2 linked regions of the Coturnix japonica genome follow. The protein of the gene in region 1 interacts with the protein of each later gene in a biochemical or structural test. Links are inferred from orthologs where the notes say so. Each region holds a gene or a part of one and is shown on either strand. Other genes may lie near its edges.

Evidence for each region.
Region 2: of the proteins of WNK1 (region 1) and KLHL3, one has a biochemical effect on the other in vitro, tested with the Homo sapiens proteins (2 studies listed by BioGRID). The link is inferred for Coturnix japonica from reciprocal best matches to the Homo sapiens genes WNK1 and KLHL3.

What each region holds. Positions count from the first base shown.
Region 1 is NC_029516.1:52,104,700-52,108,515, reverse strand, and holds part of WNK1 (serine/threonine-protein kinase WNK1), read left to right. Parts: coding exon 1-34; intron 35-707; coding exon 708-777; intron 778-2,198; coding exon 2,199-2,278; intron 2,279-3,164; coding exon 3,165-3,802; intron 3,803-3,816. UniProt on the Homo sapiens protein: Serine/threonine-protein kinase component of the WNK1-SPAK/OSR1 kinase cascade, which acts as a key regulator of blood pressure and regulatory volume increase by promoting ion influx.
Region 2 is NC_029528.1:3,626,455-3,630,270, reverse strand, and holds part of KLHL3 (kelch-like protein 3), read left to right. Parts: intron 1-2,259; coding exon 2,260-2,366; exon of another isoform or gene 2,367-2,398; intron 2,399-3,816. UniProt on the Homo sapiens protein: Substrate-specific adapter of a BCR (BTB-CUL3-RBX1) E3 ubiquitin ligase complex that acts as a regulator of ion transport in the distal nephron.

The sequences.
Region 1 (3,816 bases):
AGAGACCGTTCCAGTGACATCAGCTCCTGCCTGTGTAAGTTTGGAGTATCAATGCAGTCTCGAGTAACCAGTGTTTTCTCAAGTTCTTGCACTTAAATCACTGCCTTTAATATCACTACACACGTCCATAGGCTTCTAAAGTAAAAACAAAGAGTCATCTTTCAGTGTGCGGGACAGAGCCAAGCAAAATGGAGAAAATATGTAGGTTGCAATAGACACTGTATTTCCCGAGGCTGGCTCTGGGATTAGTTCTTAGCCCATCTTCTTTGGCAAAGCCATTAATATCACAGAACTAAAATGGGAAGTGATTGGGAACGAGGGAAAAGAGGGTGCTAAACAAGCAGTATGTGGGAAGTCAGTCGTAATTTAGAAGAGATTTTTAAAGCATAGGTTTCAGTTCTTAAGACTATGTTAAAATATCGATATAAAAGGATGACAGTGATTAACATTGATCGCTAAATGACTACTCATGCATTACTTCTGCAGAGTAAAGGGGGAGGTTCTGCGGGGAGCCTTGGGTTGCAAGGCATGCAAAATCTGTTGCTGATGTTTCTTGCTTTGGAGATGAAAAGATCCTGTGTTAGTCCTGTGATGGGTCATCCTTTAGACCTGATAGTAACTTGCACTATTGTAGATTACTTGGAGTTGAATCAAACTATTGATTCTGATTAATTTTATTTTATTTTATTTCCCTTCTGAACTTCTAGTCTGTGCCCTCAGTAGCATCTACAGCAGTTACTGGTCTGGCGTCCACAGCAGCGCAGTCTCTGAAAGATGGTAAGACAGCCTTTGTTATTTCAGATGATTTCTTAGCACAGAGATTTAATGCAAAACTGAAACAAAACTTTACAAAAGTATTGAAAATAATAGCCTCTTCTAATAAGTGATACAGTGACAACTCCTTAAGAATTGTTTTAGTTTTTAGCAACTACACTGACATTTTCCACTGTAGACCAAGAGAACAGAGTGGAACATGCGTATTATGGTAATTCTGTATTTAAAGTTGACTAAAATGATAATTAAACCTTGCAAAGAACCTTCAGTATGCTCCTAAGGTACAGCTTGACAATTTGAAAGGACTACTTCCTATCTCTCGTGATATTCTTGACAGCAATTGCAAAACCTTTCCATTTTGTGTTGCCATGCTGTGTTCTGTGTTAAGGGTATCTCCCCTTAACTGGAGTATTTAATTTCTATTTGGAGAAAAAAAAAAAGGTGGGGGCTAAACTTAAGTAAGAAAACATAGTAAGAAAAAAGGACTGTTTTCTGAACAGTGGAGGGGTGACTATGACTGAAACGTGAATGATAAATGGCTTTCAAAACTTGTTTAATTATTAGGGGTGCAACCAAACAGCCCACACTTCAAGAATAGCCTGAGTCTTAACACTCGGTATTCCCCCACTCATTGCAATTTAAAAAACTCTTCTTTTTTTTTTTAAAAAAAAGGAACTGTTAATTTGCTTCTAAAGTTATTTCAAATTTATTTAGTGAACAACATTCAGTTTTCAAGTTCAATGTCAAAACTTTAAAAGTTAATAAAATGAACAGGAAAATAAAACAGTCCCTTTCTGGTATGCTTGATAGTTAACTATACAGTTAAGCTCACTTTCCTACTAGAAAATGAGTTCCTTTGCTTGTTGATTTAAGGTTGTAAAAGTATGCAAAGTGGAGAGTTACTGAATAAACCCAACGAGCTGTCCAACAGAATTGGTTTAAAAATAGAATGTTATTTCACAGCTTTGTAACCTTATACTGCTAGGGCATACGACAGTAAAATTAGGAGCTACCATCTAAGGATCCAGCTCTGAAGGCCTCACACTGCTTTGAGTAAATGTTTATACCATTTCTTAAATGTACTGAATTTGTACTGAAATTTATGTAGTCACCATAAGTATGGAATTGAAATATGTCATTTCTTGTATAAATTTCATTCTTTTTTATTTATTTATTTATTTTTGGCTATTTCACATCCCTGCTTGAAATCAAAGTGTACTTCTTCTTTATATATCACAGTGTAGAACTGCACTTCTGGCAGGTGTACTGCACAATGGAACTTCATAGAAAAATACTTAATTTTAAAGTTTTAGTTTGATATTCAACATGGCAAAGCTGAGAAAGGAGACCAGATTCCATGAATCCAAAAGCCTGCTTATTTTCTTCTCAATCCAATTCTCCTTTATTTATCTATTTTTTTCTAGCTTCAGCATCATGTGGTGGAGAAAGCAGTGGTACAGCTTCCACAACAGGAGCTGGTGTTCTTAAGATGGGACGGTTTCAGGTAGGCTCCAAGGAGATCTTATAGCAGCCTTCCAGTACCTGAAGGGGCCTACAGGAAAGCTGGGAATGGACTTTGTATAAGGGCAGGTAGCATCAGGATGAGGGGAAATGGTTTTGAACTGGAGGAGGGTGGATTTAGACTAGATATTAGGATTAAATTCTTTGCTATGAGGGTGGTGAGACACCAGCACAGGTTGCCCAGTGAGGTTGTGAATGCCCTCTCCGTGTAAGCATTCAAGCCAGGCTGGATGGGGCTTTGAGCAACCTGGTCTAGAGAGAGGTGTCCCTGCCTGTAGCAGGTTGGTTGGAACTGCATGATCTTAAAGGTCCCTTCCAACCCAAACCATTCTATGATTCTATGTTAAATTGATTTGGTTGCTCATAGAGAATCCTCACCAAGCAGTTACTGCCTGGTGCCCATTCAGTGCACCTCTTGGAAGGTGTTCTTGATGAGAGAAAATATCAAAAATATCCATACTGAGTATGTGGCTGCAGTATTTTGTGCAGACACTGTTATTTGTTCTCATTCACAGGAGGGACTGCGCTAGAGTATACACGGTCTAGTTTATGAATATAGCATTTCATCTTGTCAGACCTTAACTGTTTAACTGTTTGCCTTTGTCTTTAATATCAGTTGCTCTTTGGCTAACTTTGCTGGGGCGTTTATTATGTACTGTTCTTGGAGGAAGCCCCCTCTCAGTCTGCTGTGTAGTTGGAGTTAATTTTGAAGTTTATCTTGAACTGCTATTTTATGTGGAGGGAAGTTTGTAGCATTTCAGGGAAACTAGTTATTTTCCCCCCTCATATGCTTCTGCTATGTAATGTAAGTAAGTGCATCATGTTAAGGAAGAACTTAGAAGGTCTACATGATTGCATTTCTATTGTAGGTGTCTGTGGCAGTGGATGATGTGCTGAAAGAGAGTGACAAACCTGAGACTAAGCCTCTGCAATTTGAAACCACCTCCTCTGATTCCTCCCCTCTTTCTGGCAGCAGTCCAGAGAGTACCCTGGTAAAGCAGGCTGGCGGGCGGAAAAGCGAGGCTGTAGCACATGGTATTCCTCAGCCAGTTCCTGTGCTGCAGTTGCCAGTAGATGATGGTCAGCCTACTAAGGTTGGACGCTTTCAGGTAACAACAACAACAGATCAAGTGGGGCGCTTTTCAGTGTCAAAGACTCAGGATGAGGTCACCTGTGCAGAGAGAGAGCCAATGACTCTCCCTCTCTCTGTGGACTTGGAACAAGTTGCTTCTTCAGCTGCAGCCCCTAGGAAAGAGTTGGAGTCGAGGCAGTCCCCCCATATGAACGGTCCGTCCTCTGAACCAGAGGCTGCTTTCTTGAGTGGAATGGCTAAGGATCTGGATGATGGCTCAGCAAGCCCAGACTCCCTCCAGGCCACAACATCAAAAATCAGCCTCCCTGTTCAAAGCCTTAGCAACTCGTTCAATTCTTCCTACATGAGCAGTGACAACGAGTCAGATATTGAAGATGAAGACTTGAAGTTGGAACTCCGTCGATTACGGGAGAAGTAAGGCTTTTTCC
Region 2 (3,816 bases), on another chromosome or scaffold:
AAGCCAACAGCAGCTCAAGAAGTTATTTGAGTGATATCCTTCACTGTAGTGATGATAATTCATGTAGCATTTTCCATTACTTACAGCAAATTTAGCTGTAAACTATGTTCTTAGCTGGGCTAATGGTCTGAAAACCAGTAACAGAATATTACAGACAGAAAGACACCTACACATAATTACAGACCAGGGACTATGAATGTACTGTTCTTATTCCGTTGAACTGGGGCTGTTGCTCAATCTGGGCTGAGCACTTCAAAGTAGGAAAAAAGCCCCACTAACAGCTCAGGTCTCTATGTGGAAATTAAAAAAAATGCCATTGTCAGTTAAGAAGGAACACCCTGGTGTCTTTAAACAGCTGTGTGGGCATAGGGAGAATGGGGGCTGAGGAAATGTAAGCAAGCACAGTCCTTACGAAGCAGTTGCTGGTGTGATGGCAGTAGTTAAACCTGTGCTGGTTTTCAGCTGTTCCCCCAAGAACCAGGCAGAGGCTCAGGGAGTATTTCTAACAGCAAATTCATCTGAGTTGTTTGCCATTCCAGCAGTCACAAGCTTTGAAAGAAGTCCTGTGAAAAAATACGTGTCGTACACATTTGTGTGCTCCCTCTCTCCAGATGGCACGATGAAAGCAGATAACAGCCTTTACTCTTTCTGCATGCTCAGAGTACTCCAAAGAGGCTGCTGTAGCACCTCGCTTCTGTGGATTTAGTAGTTTCCCAATGTCTGTTTTCTCCAGTGCAGAGAAGGGTGAGAAATGTCTTCTTCCAGATGTCTCATAGGGATTCTCAGTTGCGTAAGGAGCAGAAAATGGAGATGTCCATCCCTTGTAACAGTTAAATGAAGCAAAGTATGGTTTTTTAATATTGGCATCCTTCTAGTCGTCTCTTTGTACTGAAAGCAAAAGATCTGAAAATAGAGGTTTGTGTGGCTATATTCAGAAATCTATTGTGCTCCTATTATTCCTTTGTTAATTGAAGCACAGTGGGAATAGCTGGAGACTGACAGTGTTTCTCAGTGCCTGCAGTCAGCTAGGTCTTGTGTAATGGTGAAGGGATAAAACATACAGGATAGAATAGAAAGCTGCCCTTAAGAACCTATTTGATGTTTTCTTTTTCTAGGTACCCTCCTCCTCAGCCCCTGCTGCTGTTCTGGAATATACAGTTCTCATGTCTATTACACTTGTGATCCATTAAGCTGTCGACAGTCAGTGTTAATAGCTACCTTGAATAATTGTGCCTTAGGTCAAATGCACGGAGAAATCCCGAGTGGAGATGGAGCAGTCCCAAGCTGAGGGTCACCAAGAATCTTGCTGAGCCTTTAGCCTATTTGCAATATATTGCTCACTTGGAATTTTTAGCTTTCAAATGTAAATTGAATTAACTTTAACGAGCGGTACTTTAAATAACTATAGTCCATAGAGGAACTGAATGGGGCATCTTTTACATAAGTTGGAGGAAACGGAAGCTTCCCTTAAGAGCCGATTCAAAGAGCTCCCATTACTGCCCTCATCCCTTCCAAAGGAGGATGAAGGTAGAACAAAGATTGTCAGTTCCTACTTTCATTCTGTTTTCCATCAGTAACCCTCCATTTCACAAATCATTTTGTTTACTTCTTCCATGGAGTAGGAGGAGGAGGAGACATGCCAAGACCATGGGGAGTTTTGTATGTATTTATTTGATGTGTAGTTTCCCGGGAGAAAGCACAGCATTTTGATAAGCATTTCTGATGAGACGGCTCCATCTAGATTTGCAGGCACTAAACTATTTTTTTTTTTTTTTTCAGGCTTAACATTTGAAAAGAACGCCTTTATTTTTGCATTTGTATGCTCAAACATCTTAAACCAACTTATTGGGAGGCTGAGCACTCCTCACTGTCTGCATCTCCAATCCTTGTGCAAACATTAACTAATGAATCCTCAAAGGACATACGTGGGGCTGCTAGGAAAGGTCACTGATTAATGAAGTGGCTTTTCTAAAGCCATACAGTGATTCAGTGGGGAGCATAGAAGTTATTTGGTTGTGTTTGGAACCCGTTGTTTTATTCCTGTGACTCTTAATCCCACCTAAGTCATGGGGTAGGGAAGTTCTCAGGCCCAGGGGTAAGCTGCAGGCCTGACTGCTGTCCCCTAAAGGCTCAAGTGCCTTGTTCCTAGCAGTAGGACTTCTGCTTGCTTCTTCAGGCATAAAATGTACTTGTTGTGTTTGGGTTTTTTTTTCCTTACCAGTTCTGAAACAATCTTTGTCTATTCTGGTGTTTTTCCAGCAAACGACTGCTCTGTGATGTAGTGATTGTGGCAGAAACTGTGGAGATGGAAGCGCACCGCGTGGTCCTGGCAGCCTGCAGCCCTTACTTTTGTGCCATGTTTACAGGTACTCTGCAGCAGACCCTGCACTGGGGCACGGTAAATGGGCTTGGGGGCGGCATCAGGCTATGGGGGAGCATGCAGAATATCACTCACACAGGAAGGTTACTGTGGGGCTTGGTTTGCTGTGGGTGGTTTTTTATTCCTCAGCAAATGCTTGGGTCGTGAAACCACACATTGTTAACATCAGGCACACGTGCTGTGCCCTGTTCACATCAAAGAAGCTGCTGGCACAAAAGTTGTAGTTTTGAGGCCCAGCCCTGCAGATGCTTATTCGTGGTCACGGATGTTTAATCTCCCATGGCACTTGTTGCTGCTGCCCAAAATAACACTGTGGTTCTCTGGATCCCAGTGTGCATTAGTAGCTCTGTGTTTTTACTTTGTTTTCTTGCAGGGTGCATTGTTACAGCCCCGTGTATTTTGGTAATGGCAGATGCAACCTCAATGTGAAGGGAAGGAGGGGGCAGAATTCTGGCCCCAATCACCTGATCCCTATAGGCCATGGCTGTCAGTGGGTGGGACAGCAAGGAGAGCTGTGTTGGTCCCAAGGCAGGCATTAGCCAACTTATTTAGGTCCTTCTGGTAACGTCAGTATGGTCAGGAGCACCTTAGCTTCCTTTCCTTTTCCTTGTCCTCCTTTCTAGGATAGGAACTGACATAACCAAGGTAAATGTATGCTGCAGAGAATGGTTGCCATGGTCTCAGAGCTTCAGCTCTTTATGGTGTTTGCATGTGCTTTGTACTCCTTGGTCTATGGCCTTGAAGAGTAGAGAGCCTTTTCCAGAGAGATCCAACAGTGTCAGCTTGGCATTGTGGGTGCTTCTTGCTTTTACAGACCTTGAGGTTAGGCTTTGATTTATTTGCCATACTAGAAGCAAAATGCAGAATTTCTTGGGAAAAAGCCTCTTGTTTGTGCATCTTTCCTTCCCTTCCATAAGAAGCTTAAGTGTGAACCAATGTCTGAATGTTAGACAAGATGTGAAGTTTGCCACGTGGCTTTATCTGTGTGGGTGCAAAGGTAAATGGCACTGCTGCTCTGTGGGGAGCCTTGGCACTGGGTGCTTTGGGGAGGGGAGTGTTTGTGATGCTGGTTCCTGACAGGAAGGTTTAGAAGTAAAAAAAAAATCACTGGAGAACCCTCTGATCCTTAGAGGTCACCTGACAGGAATGCAGTGGTGCAGAGCAGGGCTGGGGCTGCTCATGTTTCCACGTAGGAATTCTCCAGAAGTGTAATCCCTCATGCAGCAAGTTAACCAGTAATCAGGCCCCGCAGTCACGCGGCTGCTCAGTGTGCCCTGGGATGGGTGGCAGCCGTGGGGCCCCAACACGGCCCTGCAGGCAGTGGATCGGGCAAGGACCAGTTGTCCATTCAGTTCTGATCCCAAATTTCTATGGACTGGGTCTTCTTGCAAAGCTGTGTTGGTTCAGTTTCTAAAAGCCAAATGTTTAAAGTCTCA